Kluyveromyces lactis: one gene and its partner. The protein of the gene in region 1 interacts with the protein of each later gene in a biochemical or structural test. Links are inferred from orthologs where the notes say so. Each region holds a gene or a part of one and is shown in the gene's direction. Other genes may lie near its edges.

Evidence for each region. The genes of interacting proteins can lie anywhere in the genome.
Region 2: the proteins of RRP6 (region 1) and NOP53 form a complex in vitro, tested with the Saccharomyces cerevisiae proteins (2 studies listed by BioGRID). The link is inferred for Kluyveromyces lactis from reciprocal best matches to the Saccharomyces cerevisiae genes RRP6 and NOP53.

The regions. Positions count from the first base shown.
Region 1 is NC_006040.1:113,339-117,463, forward strand, and holds RRP6 (exosome nuclease subunit RRP6), read left to right. Parts: upstream 1-1,374; coding exon 1,375-3,609; downstream 3,610-4,125. Other genes in the region: PHO80 (Pho80p), read left to right, coding at 1-565. UniProt on the Saccharomyces cerevisiae protein: Nuclear-specific catalytic component of the RNA exosome complex which has 3'->5' exoribonuclease activity and participates in a multitude of cellular RNA processing and degradation events.
Region 2 is NC_006042.1:1,055,269-1,060,037, reverse strand, and holds NOP53 (Nop53p), read left to right. Parts: upstream 1-2,934; coding exon 2,935-4,269; downstream 4,270-4,769. Other genes in the region: HPR1 (Hpr1p), read left to right, coding at 250-2,511; ATP-binding cassette long-chain fatty acid transporter PXA1, read right to left, coding at 4,510-4,769. UniProt on the Saccharomyces cerevisiae protein: Late-acting factor in the nuclear maturation of 60S ribosomal subunits, which is required for normal acquisition of export competence. Required for the export of the large subunit.

The DNA.
Region 1 (4,125 bases):
TTTGGAACGAGTCAGATACAGAATTATCCCAAGAGATGATAATATCGAAAATTGTAAGATTGAACAAAAATTGGGCTCCAATATGCTGATACCCATGAAAAACGCTTCACAGAGAGGTCCCGACAATGGTTTCAATGTTTTACAGAATTATTACAGGAAGATTGTTCAACTCGTTGGAAATCCATTGAACTCACCGGATAAAACTTCCACATACTTCTTCAAAATGGTCGATCCAATGAATCCTGGCATTGGTGGCACCTTGGTACCGCCTAGTACAACAATCAAGAACAATCTTAAAGATAAAGGAAATGGTAGATTAAACACAAACATTATATCCACTACGGGCAGGATCGTTTCACCATCTATAACCGAGGGCGATAGCTTTAATCTGAGTGAACACCGGAAAACTCGTTCCCGAGAAACTTCTGTTAATGAGAATAGTGATTCTCCTCCGATCACCATTCCACAAAAGAGAAATATGAAGGAGGATGATCCGACCAATATGGATAGAAAGAGCACTTTGCTACGCAACGGCAAAAAGCTTTCAAGTCATTTCAATAGTTGACCTTCCTTTAATTTATTTCATTGCCAGGATGGAATCAACTTCGGATTCAATTTATCTTTCGCTGAATTTGTGAAGATGGTTGGCAAAATGTGTTATGAGTCTTTTACGATACTGAAATGGTTTCCCATTTTTGTTGATGTTCTTTTCATCGCAGCAATACTCATCAATATTCACTTCATAATGTCTAGACGGAAATTAGACATTAATTGACCCACTTTTAAGTTATTGAATCACTACCCAAGATTACAATGAAAAAGCATGTAGTATTAAAGTATAGTTTCACTACTTAAATGTTTCAGGATTTTGCATTACTTTCCTTCAATTGTGCCATCTTTACTCTTACAGGTTAGCCGCCCTATATAGCTATACTTAATTGGTTGCCATAAAATGGAGCAGCTGATGCTGTCTGCTTCTAGCGTCATTTTATAATATTGAGATGAGAGATGCTGCAACATTAGTTGAAAAAAAATCCGTACATCGTAGAGGAAGCAGAAGTTATGCAAGATTATATAGTTAGTTCTCTAGTAGCCAATTAACTTATAACGTAGCCGTTGAAAGGCAATGGCGGCGGTGGTGATACGTGGTCTGACTCTCTCTGTAATACTACCGACTCTTTGAATGAATCATTTTCATCAGTAGCAGAGAACATCTAAATTTTACCCGGATTTGAATTCTTCTGATTTCTTTTGATTAGTGAATATTTCTTCATCTCATCTCATCTGGTAGTCAAAGACAGTAATATATTGGAGGGCAGTACGATTCGCCCCGTTTTGAATCCCCCGTAGACTACCAGCTGACTCTAATCCACCATGTCTTCAGAGGATAAGGATACGTTACTTTCCAGTTTGGTTCAAACTGTGAGATCATCGAGTGCATTGGCTGCACAGGATATCGATTTCTACAAAAGTTTAGATTCCAACATTAATGCATCATTAGAAGACACTTCTACGAACATTTTATCGTTAATCAACGACTTGCTTTTGTCTATTGATCCCAATAATGATGTAATTCAGCAAGGGAAAGACAGTTTTGTGGATTCTTGGAAATCCATAAGTAATATTATGGATAATTTATTTGAAAAGTCTGATCATGCACTTGACAACATTAGAGCCGGAAATGGTGGAAACGCTGGAGGTCCATCACTTAAGTATCTAAATGATGATGATCGTTCGAACAATAAACCATCCAAGAGGATTGAAAAACCTCAACTAAGTTTTAAAACTCCTGTAGATAACACAGAACTTCATCCTTTCAAGCCATTATTGGAATACAAACCCCATAGTTTACAACCGTTCGAAATTTCATTGAAGATGGTCCCAGAAGAGGAATCCATCCCGTCCCATTACCCACATCCATACGAATATGAGATCGACCACCAAAAATACAATGACTCCATTCTTGTTGCAACAGAACCGATCCCATCAAAGGACTGGGATGAAACTGAAGCAATTTGGGTTGACACCGTTGAAGGCCTTAACAAAATGAAAGATGAATTAAGTAAAGCCACAGAATTAGCAATCGATTTAGAACATCATGATTATAGGTCTTACTATGGTATAGTTTGTTTGATGCAAATTAGTGACCGGGAGCATGATTGGATTGTAGATACTATTGCATTGAGAGAGGAACTTTACATATTGAATGATATCTTTACCGACCCTAATGTTACTAAAGTTCTGCACGGTGCATTCATGGATATCATATGGCTTCAACGTGATTTAGGCTTATATATTGTTGGCCTTTTTGATACTTATCATGCCTCCAGGATGTTAGGTTTTCCAAAACACAGTCTGGCCTATCTTCTCGAAAGATTTGCTAATTTCAAGACTTCAAAAAAATATCAACTGGCAGACTGGAGAATCAGACCGTTGACCAAGCCTATGCTTGCATATGCAAGAGCTGATACGCATTTTCTCCTAAATATTTTCGATAAATTAAGGAACTCTCTACTGGAACAGAATAAGATGTCCGATGTTTTGCATGAATCGAGAAAAGTGGCTAAAAGAAGATTTGAATATAGTAGTTTCAGACCAAAGGTTCCGTCTTCAGCAGTGTTTTCACCTATTGAAAAGGATGAACCTTGGAAGAATATTATGTTTCAGTACAATATTCCGGCTTCAAAGGAATTACTTCTCCGTAGACTTTATGAATGGAGAGATACAATCGCCAGGAGGGATGATGAATCTCCTCGTTACGTGATGCCAAACCAACTACTTGTATCGTTGGTGGCTGGTGCACCAACCGAACCCATTAACGTATTGTCTGTCAGCTCATACGTTTCAGAGCATTTAAGAACAAATTCGAAGGTCATTGCAAACTTGATCAAAAGAACTTTAGAGGATCTCAAAGGAAATTCCAACTCTTCTGCGATCCCACTTTTGGAATCGGCCGAAAGTAACGGCACCGATCTGGCCAATATAATAACAACGTCCCAAATTAAATCCATTCAGAATATATTTCATTCACTTGCTTCGGAAATAAACTCTCAAAAGCTGAATAACGAACAAAATTCAGAGAAATCTGTCCTATTCAATGGTATTTCAAACTTGGATGTGAATACTGCCGTCAGATATACACCAAAGACGAGAACGCTCATTCCACAACATGAATTATTAAAGCGTCAGCATGAAATAACAAGGACGTTAGAACAAGAATACACTGACCGACAAGCTCAGAGTATTGTGCTACCGTCAAATGAGGATGAAGCTCCTACGCAAGTATCTAACGATGAAAACAGAAATGAAGTCATCACGTCTGATCCTTCTCAGGAAGAGATTGAAGAGAACAAGGATGAAGTAATTACGTTGCGCAAAAGACAATCTCAATCTAACAACAAACGAAAGACTATCAGTCCACCTGCAAGTCATGAGATTATGGATTATGCTGCTGGCTCCGACCTATTGAACTCAACAAAGAATAATACAAACTCACAGAAGCATAAAAAAAGAAGATTCGATCCTTACTCTGTTGAACATGTCGGTCCACAGCCTATCAAGAAAAAATCAAAACCTGCCAAGGGTAAGAACGTCTCATTCAAAAGATAGAGCATCTTGAGCAGCTCTAATGGTATAAATATCGAACTAGTCATATTTACAGGTTAATTTCGCTCACTAATTCGTTTGCGTAATAGTTTTTTTCCTTAGAAATAGCTACTTCTGCCTAGGCATTGAGACACAGATTGGATAACTTGAGCTTTTCTGAGACTGCCCATAAGATCCTCCAGTTGCAAGGAGTCTTTTCACAGTAGTCAGTCTATCCTAATTTCTTCATCTATAGTCATGTGCAGTGCATCAGATTAGCCAACAGTTCTCGAAAATGTTGGAACTGACAAAAAGGAATGTTGATATTCAAATTTTGTTTACTACGCGGAATTATAAGAGTGTATAAATAAGGGTATCTCATGGCATTTAAAAGAGATTTAGCCCTAAGTAGTATATATAATGAGATTGAATTTTTAATGCATACTGCAATGAACTGCTTTGATCAAACATAAAGAGCAGAAAAATTAAACGGGTACGACTCCAAGAGCTTATCTATCCTATTATCTGAAATCCTAGTTT
Region 2 (4,769 bases), on another chromosome or scaffold:
TAAAGGTCTAACATTTCACGTTCAAAAACTTGGTCACGTGATATACAAATTTCAGCAACTGTTATGAAATTTTGACATTGGTAAAGCCTACTGAATAGCTATAGCTACAATGTGGTCTTCCAACTATTTTGGGAGGAAAACCTTATAGTTCGTGGAGTCAATCGAGCTAGCGTTATTATCTTGTTTTTCCTCTAGAGAACAGCTATTATTCAAGAATTGGTTGAAGCAGATTGATAACCTAAAAGTAAGATGGAAGATCTCGAGAGCTCACTTGCCGAAATTGTGGATCAATTGCAGATTAAGTTGTATGAAGACCCAGAAAGACCAATCCCTGAAAATGTGCTGTCTGAACCTTTGAAACGTGAGAACATTTCTGAAGGTGTGCTATCCAGCTCTTTTTCTTTAGATACGGAACTATCATTAGGTAAAAGAGAGTTACTATTGAAAGGGCTGTTAAACGAATTGGTGACAAATGCTGGAGACACAGACATGCGCAAACTAAGCGTCTTACTGGACTTTTGTTATCATTTAAAGTACGTTGGGGAGGAGGATGAATCTAAGGTATGGGCCGCATTATTCTTTGACCTAACTGCAACTTGTATCCTGACATTAACCTTCCCGCATGAACTGGGGCAATTCTATACGTACCTAAGATCAAGATTGTCATGGTACTTAGAAGGCCTATCGAAGGAACCTGTATCTAATGGAGGAACAAACTTGAAAATGGGAATAAGGCCTCCAGCTGCAAAACTTTTCTTCAGCATTGATACTTTTTTCAAGAACATCGATTCTCATTCTCTCTTCATCACACCTAATCATTTCGAGCTTGTGCATAAATTATTATGGTGGATATCGCAGCTAATACCTATTAATGACCATTGCAATATTAATCGAAGGGCAAAAATTACGGATGAATATCCTGAAACGTTTTGGGCTCCACACTTACCGGCTTTGCCTTCATCTCCTACTATTCTCTCTGATTGGACGAAAATTTGTGATGATTTCTTCCTTCATCCATTGCATTGGCTATTCTCTCATCCAAGGGACAAACTCACACTCGAACCTGTCGTTCATCGATTTGTTGATGAGATCTTTGTCTATGAAACCGAACTATACAATTTGATAAAAGGAAAAAATGAAAAGCATGCTAAACAAGAAGCTGCGGTTAATGGTAAAGATTTCTACCCTTTAAACTTTATCGATAACGTTTACGATGAACCAGATGACTCAAGAAATTCAATTTTCCCATCCAAAGTTGAGTTCTGGAAGGAATTCAATTTAGAATCTACGAAGTCAGAAAATATCATCCAATTGCTACCGTTAGAATTAGACTTATTTGATCTTAGATCTTTTCAGGATCGGATTGAAGCATATGAATATGACTATTTCAGGAAATTGGTCATATCGCAAGTTTATTTGACTTTTTACTTATTGAAGGAAATTATTTCCAATGATACATTGGTTCACTACTATGGCAAAATCTTTAATCAGAGTTCATTGTCCCATTCATCGAAATGGCGTGTTGAATATGGAGACAACGTGCTAAATAAAAACGATTCTGCTATCAATTTCTTAACGAAGAAGTTAAACAGAATTTCTTCATTTTATGAAATTAGGGATCGTCAATTTTATGAATTGTTGAATCATCTAGCTCAGAATGAATTGGATGCACTCAATCAAAAAGTCGGTGATTTCTCAAATTTGAAAGACATTCATTGGTCCTCTGATTTGATTACCGTACCAACAGCTAATAATGCATTCAAGAAATTCGGATGGATTAAACTCGGCAATAAGAAATTAGACGGTCTATGGAAAGTGCAATCAGGCTTAGATTTAGCGAGAAAGTATTCAGAAAACAATAGACAAGATCCCTCAGAACTATATGACACTATAATATCCGAATACAAGGATAAAACTGAAAAAACTGATGGTGATGAAACCACTACTGATAATGTCATAGTAAAACAATGGCAGAATCTAAGATCTTTGAGGCCGAAATACTTGTTTGAGTTTAATAAGGTCAGCGAAAAAACTACTCTGGCGGGGTTCGCCAATGAAGAACTCATTAGGAATGATATCGAATCTAAGAAAAGACGGCTAGCCGAAAGAATAGAGTCAAAAAAGAAGAAACATTCCGAACAAGTCGCCGAGGCTGAACAGTTTTTCAAAGACAAGGAACAAGAAAGGAAAGATCTACTTCAAGCGAAGATAAAAAGTCAAAGAGAAACTCTGGAAAATGGAAAAAATGATAAAACAACTTCGCCTGATGATCAAGATAATGATTCACTAAAGAGAAGACACGATAGTCCAGAGGCTGACGGGAATGAAGAAGAACAAGCTGTTTCGAAGAAACAAAAACTTGAGGAAGAAGTTGAAGAACCAGATGCTGACGCTGAGGCTCAAAAGGAAAAAGCGCTTGAATCTGAACCAACAGAGCTTAAAACAATAGAAAGTACAGAAACAGAAGTAGAGGTGCCGAAAGAACATGAAGGAAGCTCCCACACGGAGTAGGCTAACAATACAGTAATATTTTTTCAGACATCCGTTCAAATATATAGCATATAATTCGATTGAAGAATCATTTATTTTATCAATTACAGATGTTACTTATCAATATCACACGATTCTAGACTATTCCTCTCCTAATTGACATTCGACAGCTATCTCCTTGTCTATTATGAATCGATATCCTTTACTTTGCTTCGAAAGTGAATGTTACCCGGAGAATAATCATATTTCTTTTTTTTTATGTCAATTTTTCATTTAGACAATCCGATGCCAATAAGATGAAAAAAAAAAAAAGAGATGAGATGCGATGCGATGAGATGAATTCAAGTACACAATTAATACTCGGGGACTGGCGTATCGTTTTACTAATCCTTACCATACTATTCAGGACAATCCACCTCAAACAAACAGACAAAATAGTTAGTTATGGCGGGATCTAAGGACAGACCAGCTCAGTACAAACAATCTTCTCGTAAAGGTAAGAAGGCATGGAGAAAGAATATTGATATAAGCGATGTGGAACGCAAGCTCGAAGAGAAGCAGATCCTTGAGACTACTCATGGTAAGCAGAATTTGACAGAACTTAGCGATGATGCGCTTTTTGCGGTTGATACTGAGGGTGACCAAGTTTTAAAGCAGAAATTAGTGAAGAGGAAAGCAATCAAGAAAACTCTGAAGTCAACCGAGATTTTGGAGTCTATCAAGTCTAAATCCAAAGTGCCTGCTCTAACCAACCCAAAGACTGCTAACAAGAAACATGATAAGATCCAAGGGGTATCAAAGAAAGAACTGGACAGATTACTTGCTTTAGCTGGTAAAAAAATTGGTGAAAGTAAGTTGAAAGCAAGAGTTGCAAAAGAAGGTCTTGTGAAGTCAGGATCCCTTGATTTATGGGGCGAAGATGCTGGTAAGGAGGTTAAAGTACCATCTGGACTGAAGCTTAAGATAGCACCAGAAGAAGTAGAGAAACTTCCAAATGGATTCTTAAAACAGTCTACAACTAGTTGGTCCGTCGCAACTGTTAAGCCGGATTCCATTGCTCGCGTGCCAGAAATTGTCAAAGAAAGAGATGTCATTCCACATGCAGGAAAGTCATATAATCCAAGCAAAGAAGAATGGGAGGCTCTTATAAGTACTGAATATGAGGGTGAGCTGATAAATGAACAGCGCAGGATAGCTTTAGAACAATATAAACAACGAATTCAACACTTGATGGATACTATTGAAGATAAGGAGGAAGAGGACTCCGATTCAGAAGAAGAAAATGAATCAGAACTTGATGATAAAGACCTTTCAGAAGAGGGAGAAGAGACTAAGTTGTCTCTGAATCCAGCAACTAAGAATAAAAAGAAAACGAAATATCAGAGAAATAAACAAAGAAGACACGAAGAAAAAGTCAAACTTCAGCAAGAATTAAAGAAATTGAAGGAAAAGGTTCTCAAACTTGAAAAATTAGAGGAAATTCAGCAGGAAGTGGAATCCACCGTCCCAAATCCGGTCTCTACAGCCGGAAAAGTTAAAAAGAACAAGAAGCATAAGCTTGGTACTAAACATTCCGTCATGGAAGACAATTTAGAGGTGAAATTCTCAGATGAACTATCAGATTCATTAAGAAAATTAAGACCAGAAGGTAATCTGCTATATGACACTGTGAGAGCATTACAAAGTTCTGGTAGGGTAGAATCTCGTATCCCTATTAGAAAAGGTAGAAGATATAAACCAAGAGTCACTGAGAAATGGACTTACAAGGACTTCAAATAGATTAATTTGCTCTTTTCTTTCTATACATCATTCCGTACCATTTGTACAATAAAATACACAGACGTACCTGTGCTTTTCTTGCATAATTTATATAGAGCAAAATATTAATAGATTCATTAACTCTGTGATTATATTATATAATAGTAATGAATACAATATCCGACACTTTTACTACTGATTGAACTACACACCAAGAATAGTTCATTTGACTTGGCAGATTTAAATTTTCAAACCAATTTTTCACACCAATGTCAACTTTGCCTGTAGTTCATCTCTCTGCCTTTCCCATTCTTTTACCTTTGTTAGCTTTTGGTTTAGGGTTTCAATCTCATTTTCGATTGATAAAATAGCTTCGTCTGACCCTAATGCCTGTAGGCTCCAATCAGTTCCGTTAGTCAATTCCAATAGGTAGTCATGGTATTTTATCAAAGACGGGCGTTGAGAGATGGATATGAAGTTGAATCTGTATCTCTTCAACATGGTAAAAAGATGATCTTCCA